2 linked regions of the Lonchura striata genome follow. The protein of the gene in region 2 purifies or fractionates together with the protein of the main gene of each other region. This does not show direct contact. Links are inferred from orthologs where the notes say so. Each region holds a gene or a part of one and is shown on either strand. Other genes may lie near its edges.

Evidence for each region.
Region 1: the proteins of CD44 (region 2) and FGFR1 purify together in Homo sapiens (affinity purification with mass spectrometry; 3 studies listed by BioGRID and IntAct, counting the BioPlex papers as one, with this or other methods). This does not show direct contact. The link is inferred for Lonchura striata from reciprocal best matches to the Homo sapiens genes CD44 and FGFR1.

Annotation. Positions count from the first base shown.
Region 1 is NC_134634.1:4,490,666-4,498,919, forward strand, and holds the start of FGFR1 (fibroblast growth factor receptor 1), read right to left. Parts: upstream 3,234-8,254; 5' UTR 3,195-3,233; intron 1-3,194. UniProt on the Homo sapiens protein: Tyrosine-protein kinase that acts as a cell-surface receptor for fibroblast growth factors and plays an essential role in the regulation of embryonic development, cell proliferation, differentiation and migration.
Region 2 is NC_134608.1:43,624,308-43,632,469, forward strand, and holds the start of CD44 (CD44 antigen), read right to left. Parts: upstream 3,099-8,162; 5' UTR 2,987-3,098; coding exon 2,923-2,986; intron 1-2,922. UniProt on the Homo sapiens protein: Cell-surface receptor that plays a role in cell-cell interactions, cell adhesion and migration, helping them to sense and respond to changes in the tissue microenvironment.

The sequences.
Region 1 (8,254 bases), on a different chromosome or scaffold from region 2:
CTCGGAGACCTGCCTCCAAAACTGCAATTACAACCAGCCATTACACCCACAGAGCTATTTTGGAGTGGTGATGGACAACCCTGTGCCCATCCATGCACCCTCCAGGGGCACATGCTCCCTGTGTACCAGGAAAGATGTTCTCACACTGCCTTTGCACACCAGTGTGTCCACGAGGAGTCTTGTGCAACCTGTCTCTCACTGCCCTCAGGGACCCTGAGGGCTGCACTTTCGCTCCTCGCATCTCCCACAGCCCTGAGTCACAGGGCTGAGCTGTCCCAGGGACACTGCACAGACAGGACCTTCCCACTTGCACAGCAGATGCACCCCCTGGCTCTGAGCTGAGTGGCTCTGAGAGGGGAAGCCCCTTCCTGTCCTGTGGCTCATCTCTGGAATGCAGCTGAGGTGCCAAGCACAGGAGCTGGTGCAGGAGCAGGGTGTCCAGCCAGGGTCGGAGCCCTGCAATGCTGTGACATCTGCAGGGGAGCCCCAGTCTGATCCCTGTGTGCTGGATGTGATGGGGGTGGCTGCTGCCATGGGCTCAGTGGGGCTGGGGGGCTCTGGCTCCTTTCCTCTGCCTCCCTGCTGGGGCAGAGATGGCCCGTGGCATTCACCACGTCAGAACGTCCGGGCTGCCCTGGCACCAGCAGCCAGCGGCTAACACAGCAGGCAGGAAAAGAACAGGGACAGGCCAAATCCAGCAGGGAGAGGAGTCTGAGCTCAATTCCTGGGTCTGCACAGCATCAGGAGCCCGAGGTGGCAGACTGTGCCCAATCAGGCGCAGTCCCTGTCCCTCAGAGGGGAGGTGGTGACTGCCAGCAGACCACCCTGCCTGGCACAAATGCCCCTCAGCTCCAAAGCACATGAAAAGAGACTCCTTTTCCTCTGAGGCACAACAAAAGCAGCCCTCCAGCTGCCCTTGGGGAAGAAGGACACACCAAAGGCACAATCCGTGGGCGGCAGGAGCGAAGCCTTTCCCTTGCCCAGTGCCTCGTGCTCCAACCTGTGGCTCAGGTCAAGAACCAAGTATTTGCTGAAATAAAAGGCAAACATAACTGCACATGGAACTGTAGGGAAAACCTGTAATGCTTAAAGCAGACACATGCTTGGAAAAATAAATATCCAACTGTGCAGCATAAAGAGCATGTTAACCCTTCCCAGCTGGCTGCCAGGTCTTAGGGCTACCAGGGCCACCTCCAGCACCGAGCTGTGGGAAGGTATCCAGTGGTGGGAGAGCCTGGGACATGGGGCAGGAAGGACGCCCAGCCACACCCACAGATCTCCACAAAACCATCACAGTTCTAGAAGCATCCTCACACCAGGGATCCCTCCCTACCTCAAGACTTGATTTTCAGATATACAAAACAACCACTGATACCCAAAAATCTGTACTGGGCTGGACCCCTTGACTGCTTTGGGAGGAGACTGGTCAAGGACGAGGACACTGGGACACAATCACAGCCTGCCATCCCAGGCAGGGACAGAGACCCATTACCCAGCCCGGGAGGGAGCTGGATTGGGTTTTCACTACGTTGCACTCCTCCAAGGAAAGCCATTGAGAGGGGAAGGACACACAATTGCCATCATGTCCAGAAGCAGAAGGTCCCTAAAGGGTCAGAAAGTTGGATTTTCAGGATGGGATGAGCATCTGCAAGCAGCCATTTCCAGCAGCCAGGATTTGGGGGGGCTCCACCTGGGGCTGGAGACAATAAGGCTGCCGGCTCAGGTTATGTTTTTAGGTGGGTAGGTAAAGAGGGAGCTCCAGTTCACCTCTGGCAGTGACCCTTCCCGCATGGCCAGGGCAGGCACCTTGTGTGCAGAACAGCCCAGACGAGGCTCCCGCCGGCTGCCTTCAGCCCGGCACCACTCGTGCCTGCACCCTGCCGGGGCAGGGGCGATTTATTTTAATCCTCTGGGAGCAACACAAGGAAAAGGCAGCAGTGCGTGCCAGCCAGCGCAGGGATTAAGGGAGGAAGTGCTCCCGAGTGGGGAAGATGGCTGCGAGCCAGAGCAGGGGGCTGCAGGGCCCTCGCTCCCGCGGCGTCCCCGCGCCGCGCGGGGGGCTCTCCGTGCGCCCCCTCCCGTGCTGGCATCCCGCTCGTCGGCACCGGAGAGCCCCGGCGGAGAAACCACCGCCTCCAGCGGCGCACCGCCCCAGCGTCCCTCCGAGCGCGACCGTGAGAGCCGCTGGGTTCACCGACTGCCCGGGTTTAAACATTGCCGGGAGGGAGCTGCCCCGGCCCGCCGCGGTCCGGGACACGGGGCAGTAACTCGGTAACCCGGGCAGAACGGGAACGGCGAGGCAGCCGTGGAGCTCCTCGGCGTCACCTGAACGCACACACGCTCTGCTCCGTCCCCACACGCGGCCAGCGGCCACCTCCACGTCTCCCGGCCCCAGAACCACAAAAAGCACAACCAAACCCCTCTGCAACCGATCCCTCCGGGTGCCGAGGGTGACCGCATCGGCGCGGCGGTCACCCGCCATCGCAGGTGTCGCCGCCGCCTCCCCGCACTCCCGGCGCCTCCGCCGTGGGCGGACGAGCGGTTCCCGGAGCCCGCACGGCGCTGGGATGCGGCGGCTCCGGGAGCCCCACCGGCGCGGACACACAAAGGGAAGCACCAGCTCTGGGACGGCGTTATTCCAGCGCCTCCATTCCCGCTGACCGCCCCGGGATCCCAGAACTGAAACACACCAAACACAGCTCCTTCTCCATTTTTCTCTGGAAGCCGCAAGGCTCCCGCTCAGCTACTTTTGGGGAATAAGGGGCCAGGCAGCGACTCGGAAAACGACCCCCGATTCCCGCCAGGCTCCCCCGCGGCCGGGAGGGGATTCGGGGTCGGGACGGTGGGGGCGGTTCCAGTCTCGGTTCGGCCGATGGACGGGGTCGGACCCGCCGCCTTCCCAAACTGCTGCCCGCCGAGCGGCTGCACCCCGGGAACGGCCCGGGGCCCCCGAGCCCCGCACACCGGACCGCCCCGCTGCCCGCAAACCCCCGGGTCCCTCAAGGCGGAGCCCCCCCCGCGCCGATGCCGCCGTCGAGCCGCCCCGCCAGGGCAACGAGGCGCACCTGGGGGGGTTCGGCCGCGACCGAGCCCCGTCCCCCGACCGAGCCCCCGGGCCAGCCCCGCGGAACACAAAGCGACGCCCCGCGGTCCCGGTGCCGCCCCCCGCGCGGAGAGCGGCGGCCGTTACTCACCGGAGCCCCGCGGGCGGCGGCGGCGGCGCGGTGCCGCCGCTCCCGGGAACAATGGAGGGGAGCCCCGGCCGGGGCGAGAGGCGCAGCCCCACCGCCGCCGCGCTCACAGCGGCCGCCCCATGGCAGCCCCGGTCCGGCCCGGCCGGCGGAGGCGGCGGGAGGCGCTCCCGGAGCCGCTGCCGGACGCGCTCCCGAAGGCGCGGCCGCCCCGACGCCGCCGCTGCCGCTGCCCGCCCGCCGCGTCCCGCCGAGCGCCCGCCGCCGCCGAACTAAGCCGCTCCCGCACCGCCCCGCCGACAGCCGCGGCTCCTCCTCCGCCTTCCTCCTCCTCCTCAGCGGCCTGATGGGGCTTGTAGTCACAGCCGGACCGCCCCCCCACCTGGAGACCCCGCTGGCCTCTCGGAGTGGCGTTCCAGACGTCCCCCGGGGCTTTGCGGGCGGTGATCGCCCCGAAGGCAGGGCAGGCTGGGCTCGGGGCAGCACAGGGATGCTGGCCGTGATGTTCCCCTCACTGCTGCATTCTTGCCCTGTGGCTCTTGCTGGCACCAGGGGAGCCTCAGGCCCCGTGGGTACCGGCTGGGGTGAGGGGCCTGCCTGCACCCCCCGTTATCCCAGTGCAACACCCGGTGTGGAGGCAGCGGGATGCGGGCAGTGCATGCAGGCAGCAGGGTGGGCACAGCTCTGGGCATCCTGGAGCCCCAGCCAGCCCCTCTGCAGAGCAAGGCCCAGGGCAGATGTTTCAGAGGTCCCAAATCATCAGCCCCAAGTCCTTCCCAGGAGCCACCACTGCTGCAGTCCCTGCCCTTCCCAGCTGTTTTCACCGAGGTTTGGAGCAGGACCATGGCATCTCTAACACAGAGCTCCCCAAAACTCTCAGCACACACTTTTGGCTTAGTCTCAGCTGGGGCCACACTCAGTTCCCAAGCCAAAAGGCAGAGTGGGATATTGTCACACCAGTAAGCCCAGCGTGACTTCTGTAGCCCCCAGTATGGAAGGCCAGCTCACAGAGCCCCAGTTTGGGCACTCAGACGAGCTCCCCCAAAGCTGGACTGGCTCAGGGTCACACGGGTGGTGCAGGGCACTCAGCCTCCATGTGGGAAGCATGTGGGAGCAGTCATGAGTCCAAGTCAGGGCATCCCAGGATGAAGACATCTCCAGTCAGCAGGGAAAGACCTGCCGAGGCAATGTGTGAGTGATTAAGTTATAAGAGGGAAGAGGACAGGATGAATTAGCCCTGTCAGTCACCGGTGTTAGATTTGAACCAAATGCTGGGCATCCATCCCCAGGAGCAGCCTCCTCCTGCTTCAGGCAACCGTTCAGCTCCCCATGCCAAGACCTGTGGAATATTTCCCTTCCAGATTGACAGATTTGTGGACAGGGAGAAGGGGGGAAGGTAACACACCTGCTGGGATGTTCTCCCAGCAAGCTGGAGATGGGAAGTATTTCAGTGATGGCAGAGCCAACTCCAGCCCTGCACAAGCACTACTCATCCAGTGTACACTTAGGGTGCAGCCACCCATCCCTAGGCCTGCCTTCCTCACTGCCCAGCAGCCAGGAGCTTTGGGCTGAAGGTGCCGAGGCTGCTGGGGAACCCACAGCTGCTGTACCCTGCTATCCATGACTCCCACTAGGCTTCTGCCCCAGACTTTTCTATGCTGTCTCCAAAACAGACCTTACGGGCTACAACCCCTCATGATGGACAGGCTCTGGGGCTGCTGGTCCTTTGGCATGGTTTTCTGCATGATTGCATCAACAGAGCACCAGTTCTTGGGCCTTTATCAATAAAGGTGCTTGGAAACAGCAGAAAATGGGGAAAACCATCCCCTGCTCCCGGGAGGCTCAAAGATCTGGCTGCATCCTTGGCCTCAGCATCACATTGGGGCTCAGCACAGAAGTGACCATGAGCTGTCACCATCTGGTGTGTGCACAAGCAAGCCCTTCAGGATGGACAGGGAGGGGGAATGACCTCCTGGAGCAGGTGGGGGTCTGCAAGGGGCATGGCTGCGCCAAGGAGCAGCAGAGACCACGGAGCAAGCCAGAGCTCACTGTGGCCCTTTCAGGGCCCCCTGCCCTGCAGGGGTTGGGGCAGTTCCTTGGCATCAGCAGCCCATGCTGGGCCCCTGCCCTTCTCCTGGACCAGGGCAGGAAGCGTGTGATGTGCAGGGCTCTTCCGTGGACACATTTGCATTGGTGGTGCAGTTTTGAGGCTTGGGAGGCCAGAGCTTGGAGAGCATTGTCATGGCTGAGGGTTTTTTCTTGTCTGAGGAGGAACAAAGGCATTTGGGAAGCAGCTTCCCTGGGACATGGATCCCAGAGCCCACAGCTTGCACAGCCTCTGGCAGACCCCCCTTCCTCCCGCAGCACACACGGGGGCTGTACCTGCTGGCCCCCACCTCTGCCCTCCCGTGGGAGCACGCACGCCCCAGCTGTGTCCCTGCACGGAGTCACACACACGTGTGCACACGTGTAGCCCCTCCAGCCCCACGTGTGCCCATCTGCACACTCAGCTCTGTCAGACTGCCCGCCTCCACTTGCCAGCCCAAGGCCACGGGGTGGTCTTCATCTTCCTCCTCCTCCTCCTCCTCATTTGCTGCCTCCACACGCCGGCTCCCAGCTGCGGCATCGGAAGCAGCAAAATCCACCGCAGGCAAAGCTGACCCGTCCCCGCAGCTGGGAGAGCAGCCCGTCCTCCCGGGCTGGGGAGAGCAGCCCGTCCTCCCGGGCTGGCTTCCCCACGTCCCCAGAGTGCCGGACTGTGAAGAGGGGGCACAGAAAGGGCTGAGCCGGCAGAGGAGAGGCCCTGCACAATAGAGCGGCTCCCCCCTGACCTTGCCTTCCCCGTGAAAGATCTGCAGCTCTCCCCTCCTCCCCACTACAAAGGGGCTCCTTTCAGCCCCTAATTCTGCATTTAGAAAACAAAAGCAGATGCATCTAGTTTAGGTTTGGAGAGGGGGAGGCAAGAGCAAATGCTGAAGAACAAAGAGCTTTCCCTGACAGATCTGACTGACAAAGACTTTGTCAGCTCCATCTCTCCCTGAAAAGGCTGGAGCCCATCAGGGTGCGGGGCTCCTGGCAGGCAGCTGGCGGCTCCCAGCCCGGCCAGGAGAGCACACGCGTGTGGGACGTGCCCCAGCCCCGCGGGGCAGAGCCGGGCGTGCACATGTGCTCACTCGCGGTCCCAGGGACGCAGCCCGGGCCTGGGGCTCGGGCAGGACACGCCTGTGTGTCCCCAGATGGGAACCAGCACCGAGGGCAGGCTGTGCCCGTGTCACCCTCTGTGCTAATTCCCAAGACATGGCTGGTGTCTTTTCCCACTCTCCGCTCACAGCCAGGGCGCAGGGTTTGCTCTGCACCCTGCAGGGATTCCAGGTGTCGCAGGGTTTGCTCTGTAGCCTGCAGGGATTCCAGGTGTCGCAGGGTTTGCTCTGTAGCCTGCAGGGATTCCAGGTGTCGCAGGGTTTGTTCTGCACCCTGCAGGGATTCCAGGTGTGTTGCCTGGCCTTGGCAAAGCGCTTCCCATCATCTGGAACATCTGGGTCACAGAGAGCGCCTGGCACGCTGCCCCAAGGCTGGCAGCTCAGCAGTGGCATGCAGGGATGGGGTTTGCTGATGCCATCTCTGAGAGAACTCGAGTCCCTCTCACAGGCCACTGTCCAGCCAAGACATTTGGACCCACACTGGCTTTTTCTTTTCTTGGTTTCCTCTCAACACCATAACCTCCCCCACCCACCACTACTTGGCTGCTCCTCTGGGAAACACATTTTTTAGGAGTCCCTGCCTGCCAAACTGCCCAAACATCATCTTCTTCTTGGAGGTGAGGACCTGTTCCAGGACCACCAGTGCTTGGGGCACCACAATTGCACTTTTAGGAGACCTGGCAGGAGCTGATGGAGCAAGCTCAGCCAGGGACAGCAGAACACCGATGCCACCCAGCCTTGCCTTCAAAGCACCCAGCCCAGCTGTTTTTGCCACTTCTTTGACATTCCTGTGGTATCTCATTTTCAATCACAGCTGATGAAAGCTCTCTGCCCCATCACAGGGCTGAGAGTCCTGACAGCCTCTGGCTGGGACAGGACAGCTCCTGATGGTCCTCACAGCTTGGGACTGACCCCTCCAGCCAGGCAGGAGCTCCACTCCCCTGCAATTGTCACATGCCGAGGGGCTCATTAAGACATCACATGATATTTTATTGTCTGCAGACAGCAGTCAAGGCAGGCAACTCCCCAGCAGTGCTTGCAGCCAGGCCAGCACCCCTGCATGTCCCCAGACTGATATCTGCCTGCCTCCCGAGGCAGAGGGACAGGGGAGATGAGGGCCAATGGTGCTCAGGGCTCTGCATCCTCACAGGCACTCCTGGCACCAAGACAAAGCCTTCCCCACACTGCCAGAGCTGCCAGGTAAAGGGCTGAGCTATCCATCCCAGAAACCTGCTGCCCGAGAGTCCTGCCAGGCTCAGCTCCCTGCCCTGGGCAGTGCAGGCAGGCAGTTACTCACTGATGGTGCATCAAAGAGCTCCTGCCCACGGGGAGGCTCTGGTTTGCTGGGAGGTGAGCAGGTGCCCCTGGAAGAGCTGCAAGGCTCACGCTCATCCTGTAGGATGATTATCTACTGCAGTCTATCTCCTGTACTGGGAGAGCTTGACTTCTGCCCCCGATTGATTTGCAGAGGGAAATTAATTATGTTTGTTTGACATTGCCCCTCTGGCACTGAGGCTGAGCTGCTGTATGAATGTCATTCTGTTCCAGCCCAGCTTGCTCGCAGGGCTGGGATGTTTAATAAGCTGTCCCAGGGGATCTCCAGCTCTTCCCATCAGTTGCCCTGGTGCTTGATGCATGCCGAGGCTTCTTGGGCTCCTTGAAAGTGCCCACACACCCAGGCAAGTTCAGAGGGCTGGAATGGAGCAGAGCATCCTTGAGCTTGCTGCCTGTGGGCTGGAGAAGGGACGGGCTCCCCTGTGGACACCTGATGGCTGCCCAGGGCAGCGACTGTCTCTAGAGCCAGGGCAGGGCCAGGACACTGCCCATCCTGTCCCCTTGGCTCCCCACCCTGAGAAATGCTCC
Region 2 (8,162 bases):
CTTTTTCTCTGCTCTTCTACAAGGTGTTTTACTATCAGTCAACTACATTAAGAACTAGTATTATCAAATATTATCACATTTTTTTCAACAAGTATTTTAGGCGTAATGAGCTCATGATTCTCTTTGGTGTGTATCTGTCTATCACAGCATGTCATGATGTCTCTGGCTCCTGGCACATTCTTGATACAGTCAAACCTCATGCATGTTTAGGTGATAGATGAATAACTGCAATATTCACACTATCTTCAATTCAGACCTATAAAAGTAATGGGAACTCTTCTGGAAAGAAAGATACACCACATATGAATGAACATTTTGTTTAACTTTGGCTAGAGCTATCAGTGGTTTTAAAAGCATTTACTTTAAAAAGTTCTTCCTCAATTGTCCGATGCTATCTGTCCTCATTAAGCCTTTCTCCGACTTCCTATTTTCAAGGTAATGGCTCTTCATTGTGGTGAACACCAGTACCTAAAGAATCTTCAAACATTTCTCCAAATTCTCGAAAACAATCCCCCACCATGCTTTGTTGGCTCTGCGTGTGCGAGTGTTTCCAGGACAGCTCCATAACCCTTCCACTAAACAATGATGGAACGTTCAAGTGAACTCTTAATAAAGTCTCCTTACTTTATAGCTTTGGGAAACTGCCAAGATAGACACTGCAAGGACCGAGTGAAAATAAACTAGCACAAAGAGCTTCTTCAAACTACTTTATTTACAAATTTACATGATAGATATGTAAACCAAGGGGCAGGCAGGTCTCTTCCTCTGTGACTGACCAGCAGCTGCAGGAGCCCTGTCTCACAGCATTACCTTGGAATGGGCTCTGGCAACCTCTCCAGTGCTAACAGGTAAGCTCCTTCCTCCCACAGGCAGACTCATTGTCCCTCTTTCCATTTCATGCTTACCACTACTACTTCTCTTCTCTTGCGCCCCACCCCTTCCAGTTTGGGGGTCAAAATTCTAGGATTTGTATTAATCAAGGAAAACTTTAAGAAAAATATTTCTACAAATACATAATGTTTGCAGGAGAAAATCTCCTGCAAAACATCATTAACCAAGATGTCAGCATCTATATTCTCTGGGATCCAGACTCCTTAAACAAGTCATGTCAACACTATGAGTAAGAAACATATCAGTGACAGTATAGTCACAACAGCACAGAAATCAGGATGAGTAAGTTTTCCAGCTTTCTCTGTATCTCATTTTTCCTTCTGAAATCACATTAACAGTAATTCCAGGTCCTTTTTAATTCTGTACAATTCTGTACTAAAAGAATCAAAATTCCAGTTCAGGAGTTTCCCAGCATCAATAGCCATTAGTCTGTGATACACAGCAAAATCACTGGCTAAAAATAGAAAACACCACCATCAACTGCTGTTTTGAAATAATTACTGACTAAAAAGTCATGCTGGAATGTACTGTATACCAACTTAAATATACTGTAGCTATATTCTAGTACCTTACTAAGCCAGTAAAGAAACTTCCCTGGAGGGCATATGTGGAGCTTGACACACTTTTTGTAACTACACTGATGGCTCAATAATGGGGCTTTCTGTCTCACTGTAAAAACACATTACTCCCAGAGTCAGTGCAGACCCTGCTCTCTAGGACACTTCAGGCAGCTCATAGAAGTAAAAATCAGTCAAGCAGTTATTTACACAGTGCACAGACGTGGACCAAGCCAAGGATTTAAACTTATCTTAGACATACTTTACTTGCCTAGAGCAGCCCTGTCCTTGCTCTTAAGACTTTGCCTATAAACCTCATCTTAGCAAGAGCATTTTGATACAATGGACACACAATTTTAGGAAGAAAAGCTATGAGGCTGCTTCAGCTATCACAGAAGCACTGGGAACTTGCTCCCTCTGACACACCCATTCACAGCCTGGCAGCGCTGCAACCATTAACAGAAGTATCCCCTGCTGCTCAAGCAAATGAGACACATATTTACTGTACATACACAGACACGCACACGGCCCTGGGTGACGATGGTCATGAAAAATGCATTTTGTTAGACTCCTGAAACTGATGAGTACAAAAACAATACAGAAGCACAACTGTTATCCCCAACCACAAAATGCCTCGAGGCAGTTACAGTCACAGTGAGAGTCTGCTAAAAGTATGGTCATTCCCCTAAAACATGGTTGAGCCTACACCATGTAAAATTTCAAAAGCTTTTTGTCACTTTGGACATAATTTTTTTATTTTTTTCTCTGTATTAACCTTAGATACTTAAATACAAATATTTGAAGCAGATAACCAAGCTACAGGAAGGTAAGTGATAAACAGCTGAACTTTGTCCCTTCTAACCCCCTTTGTTCCAAAAGCTCATCAGTCAGCCCCACAGAGACCTTAGAAAGTCAGAAGCAAGCATGCTTGGCATAAAAGCTCTCCAAATTTCAGCAGAGCTCCCTGCAGTTTTTCTCCTGTTCAGCAAGGCTGTGCCCAAATGCAGCTTGTTTCAGCTGTTGGTTCAGCTCATGTAAACTCCAGAATGCAGCTGTAAACTGGATGGGGGGTGGGGGCTCACCCCCTTCCTTCCGCCCCCTTTTCGCTGCCGTCCGAAGAGGAGCTGGGAGAAAAAACTGCGTGTGGAACAGCAGTCACATTGTCAAACTGAGCTTTACCAGAGCCATTCCGAATTCCCTGATGGAGTTCTGTTCCTAATTTAAACTTCGTTCTTTAATGTTCTACAATTCAGTTTTTACATATTTGGAATTGCCCTTTACAAGCAATACGCAGCTTTCCGTGCTTGTACAGACCAGCACAACTGAGATTACACTTCTAAAACATCTCTGATAACACTTGAAATAAGTAAAGTTTATAGATGCAAGAAAGCTGTTAGCTATCTAGCAGAAGCACACTTGCTGTCTGAAGCATTAACTTAACAATCATAAGAGTTTTCATTCATAAAAATCTTACCTGTTTCTGCTAGACAGAGCTTCAGCAAAAATAATCCAAAAATTGTCCGTAAGAAGTTGGCCATTGTTTTCTTAGAACTGTTTTGCAAAATCCAAAGATCCTTGCAAGCTGCAGAAGGAAGGAAAGCACCAACGCTTGTTAAGCCTGCAGTCAATGAGTCTGAAGTTTGCTGCACTTTTTATTCTGATTCAAAGGAACTGAAGTAATGACATAACTGGGAGGGGGAAGCTCCATCAAAAGTCACACCCATATTGCAACAAAAGTTACCCAGCAGCAGAAGAAGGGGGAGTGGAAGGAGAGCTAGGACTGACTAAGCAGGCACACTTGAGTTTTAAAGAGCCACTAAACCTTCTCTTCTTACACTAGGCTAGTCAAAAGTTATACTTAGTGTGCTTGTAGGAAAATTTGTGTCATCTCTCCTGAGTTCTCTCAGAAATGCACTGTTTGTTATAAGCATTTCATCCTGCATTTTAAAATCTCTTCATTATTGCAAACCAAGTGAACATAAAAGCATTCGAGTTTCTAAACCCTGGTAAAGCATCTTATCAGCCTAGATATTTTCCAAAAACATTTTGCTTATTTATTCCTATCTTGCCATTTTCTCTTTGTGCGGTTCTATTAAGAGCAAGTAAAATGCCTGCTCTGCAGTGAAGCTTTCTGCAATGTTTTTGTTCACTGCTGGAGGATAACATCATGCAGAAGGTAAGTTGAGGCTGTTCAGTTTCCCACAGCCCGTTCTACCCTTGGTGTCCCTGCACACGCTGCTCCAAGAAGAGAAATGAATGAACAAAAAGTAGTGAATAATGCCAGTGCCAGAAGTGAGTGATGCTGAGCACTAAGGCTGATATTTATTCTATTGATGGAATAAGGTACAGAAGGAATTTTTCCTCCTATTCCCAATTCAGAAAGCAGAGAAGCAGGATGAAAAGTTACGAGATTTTTGAGGTTCAAACAAGGTCTCAGTTCCTGAGGGACATATGTTCATTGCAGTGTGTGGTTTTGTTTGGCTCTTCATGAAACCTCTGGCGAAAACCCCAAAGCCTCTGTAGATAAGCAAAAGGCTTGTCTCTTGTCTCTTGTGTGCCTTGGAGATTTCCTGTGGTGGCTCCATGCACTGGCTTCTCTTAGAGCTGAAGAATTGGAACAGTGGTTCCTGTGCCCTGGGATGAGGGGTTGGTCAGGGATCACCAAAGCCAGCACTTCTCACCTTTAACAGCCATAAATGCCTGGATTTCAGCTTCCCTTGCCAAATCTGGATTGAATAGTCCTATATCAGATTACCATTTTGTTGATCTCCCCACTTGAAAGAAGTTTCTCATTAATTTAATCTCTGTTAACACAAACAGTGGAAAAATACAGACAAGTATCTCCAGCCACAAGCAGAAGAAGGTCACATAAAGAGGTTTTCAGGACTTTGCCTTTGTTTTGCCTTTTGACTTAGAGATGGCTGGCTATCCTTTCCTCAACCAGGCAAATTTTTAGCAACAGGTTCCAACAGGCTTTTCCTACAGGTCTAGAATATCTGATGGGACAAAGTTAAAGTAAAAATTTTTCCTTTAAACACAGGGTATATTTTTATTATGAAGCTAGCAACTTTGAAATTATGGATAAAACACCTTTTCTTTAGTTAATATGCTATTTTTATTTTTTTAAAGAAATGGCTTTAAAACCAATTAGAAAGCAATCTCCTATATACGTTATTGTCTAAAGTGGAAAGATAAATAGTTCTGTAAAATCCTGTGTATTTATATCTGTAAATGTTTTGGCATCAAAATCCATGAATAAAGATTAGTGGGATTTCAAAATGCTGGCACACAGTTAACAAATGCTTTAAATTTACTAAGTATATCTTTTTCTTCAACTGCTAAGTTACTTTTAAAACTCATGTCCTATGGATGAAACAGAATAGTTAAACATTTCATTTAAATTTAGGAAATTTTGAGTCCTATTTTTTATGAACATAAAATGACTCTCCATTAATATCCTGTATTTATAATGATACAGAATTAAAAAAAAAATAAAAGTTTTCTTTGGTACAGGTAAAGGGAGAATAACATCCATTTTAGGGATAGAGGCAGAATCTTAGATAACTAGGAGTGGAAATTCCTGGTCTCTTCATGGTGTGAAGTTTCTAATTCTATAGCCCTTCTGACAACTGAATATGTAAAGGTTGTTTTCTAGATACCAAAATATTAGTTGTTATTCATCTCAGTCTTTTCAATAATTTCTGCATGTGTTCAGCAAGGGTGGGTGGTATTCTGCTTTGGAAAGACTCTCAGGGTTGTTGCCCTGAAAAACTGGGCTAAGATTAGACACATTTAGACCACAGCATGGAGGTGCTAGTACCTCATGCAAAAGGAAAAGATAGATCTACACAAGAAAAATAATTGATAACTTTACATCATTTCATGTGATAAATCACAAAAACAATTAATGAGCTGTTTGTATGGGACATGTGAGTTTGGCCATTCTTTGTGCCATCAGCCTGCCTACATGGCAGCCTAGAACACACATGTGCATTCCACCAAAAAAATGGCACAAAAAATTTCCTGTTTTCCCACACAAACATGGTCAGCTTATGTTGGTCTCAGGTAGCCAGCAGCAGTCCAAATTTAGCCTGGCTGCAGGGCAAAATGCTGCCCAGAAGGTTTAGTCAAAGCAGATGTACAATTCTGGAGAAACTGTTGGGTTTGGAGGTTTGTTTTTCAGGGTTTGTTTTGGTTTTGTTTGGGGGATTTCTTTGTGAGAAATACGTAACTTCTCCTTTAGTTTGGGAAAACCGTATTACATAGGAACAGAAAAATCCTGAAGCAAATCTTCAGCTGAAAAAATGCAGCAGAGCATCCCTTTTGAGCCTGTCAGTACTGCTAAATATCTGAGATCCGGAATTTGCTTACTTCCTTGGCAACAAGAAGCTAAACTACTGACACCAAAATTTTGTAAAATGATTAATGAATTAAGTTTTCAAAAGAAAATGAAACAATAAGACTGAAAAAGGATAAAACCCTAGAATTTAAAAGAGTGTTTTTCTGTGACATCTTTGATACTGCGAATACTGAATCTGTGATGGTATAATATAGCACAGGAACACCAAAATAACTCATTTGTGATTTTATCACATATGTGAACTGTAGCCAGCACTAATTAATTTTGATAAAATTCCTACTAGGAAGTACATATATTGGAGTCCTAGAAAAGTAACATGCATAGCTTACAACTATATAAGAAGTAGGTTTTTTTTGCAGGAATTCACATAGAGGATTAAATTCTGGCCTAGCTTAATTGAAAGAACAAAATTCCACTGAACTCAGTGACACAGCCTCTCCCTAGAATGAATATTTAGATTTTATTTTGTGGACAGACAAGAAAATGGATGTACCTGAATGAACCTGTACTTATGATGGAAAAAAAAGAGTAGAAATGGAGATTGATTTCACTATTGAATGGAAGAAATTGAAAGAAGAGTAGAACGGAATTCTGTTTCTGGAAAATAGTGGCATTTGTCTTCTCAAGCCTTAAAATTTCTAAAGAAACAGATCTCCTAATTTTAATTTTTTTCTATTATCAGCAGAAATACTATTTTTTGAAATAAAAAAAAGAAGTTTATGAGCATAACTTGGTGAATATTTCAAGCTTGTTATGGGGAGCTGAACAGCAACTGGTCTTAGTGAATATAAAAAAAGCAAAATGTCATTAGGTAGTTCTGCTCATGGCTGTGTATGTTTTGTGTAGACTACGGGTGATCTGTGAGACTGGCTGAAAATCAGATTTGGGGAAGCAGGGAGGATTTCATACCCACTTATCCGTAATATCAATAAAATATGCTATTTTTAATAATATTTCCTCTATGTCTCTAGACTGCAATCTGGTTTCCTGCATTTCAGACTGGATTCAATTTCAGAGTAGATTTAATTTTCATTATCAATCCTGAAAACAGGCTTTGTAATGGCAACGGTTGTAAATGCTCCAGTGTGGCAAATCTTGAACTGCACACTTTTCGTGGGCTCTGAGTGCTGATGGGAAGCCCTAAGAAGAGCCTGCGCTGGTTTAAGCAAGAAAAGCTGCTCTTCTGGCTGGAGGGCAAAGCACTCCCTTGGGAAGTTGAGCGCCCGGTTCTACTCCCATCAAGCTTTTGTTCCTGGATGTAATTTACAACCTGTGTCCTGCAGAAAGTTAGGAAGATGAACAATGGCTCCTAGTTGTTTACTCCCGAAAAAAAGCAGCAACCCAGATTGGCACCTAGCGTGTGGATTCATCAGCCTGTTCTACTGGTTTGCCCCAGATCCCTAAACAACTCCTGAATCCGAGACAGGCAGAAACCTCCGCAGCCCGCACGGCTCGAGCCGCCTGTGAGGAGCCCTGCCAGCCCGTGCGGCCCCATCATCTTTCTTGTCCGCGGCCCCATCATCTTTCTTGTCCGCAGCACCACCGCAGCCACGTAGTCCCTGGCTGACCCTCGTGTGCAGCAAAGCACACCCCGGTCCCCACGGACAGCTCTAATGCCATGTCCCCCCTCGGCTGCTGCTGGGGATGGAGCTGGAAAGTGCCACCAGCTGTCCCAGCCCGCCGCAGAGACCAGAGCGCTTCGTGACCGCCCGAGTGAGCAGCAGCTGCGCGGCTGGGCGTGGGGCGTGCGGGGAAAGCGAGGGGAGAACACTCGCGTTCTCTGCAGGTGGCTGCTGTCTGCCTCTGCCCCTCCTTCCCCTGGCTGGCACACACCGTGCAAGAAGTGCTGGAACGGATACACGCGAGCAAAATAAACGAAAGTGGGAATGCAGCTCTGTATTCCCACTTTTATTTCTTTTGTTTGCAGTTATACAAGAGGTGAATCGAGCTTATGCAAAGCTACTTTCTGGATGTACTCTTTTGTCCCTGCTGCCTTTCCATTTTCTTCTACTTGATTTTGCTTTGTGATTTCTACCTTGACTTCTGTCTGTCATGTCCACTAATTTCTCCTTTTTCTTAGCCCCCATTCTTTCTCATCCATTCTCTGTTCCATACAGTACATTGGAATTATTATATCAAACATCTAAAGCTCCAGAAGAGCAGGTGAGCCTTACAAAAGGCAAACATTCAGGAAACTCAGGAAACACTTCATATTTGCATAACCAAACTGTTAACTGTTATATATAGATAAATGCTTAGGGGCGCTTGTGCCTAATACAGGCCTGACCAGAGCCAAATATTTTCCTATCTAACGAAAGTAAACCCCGAATTTTAGCTGGAACAGTTTCTGTTCA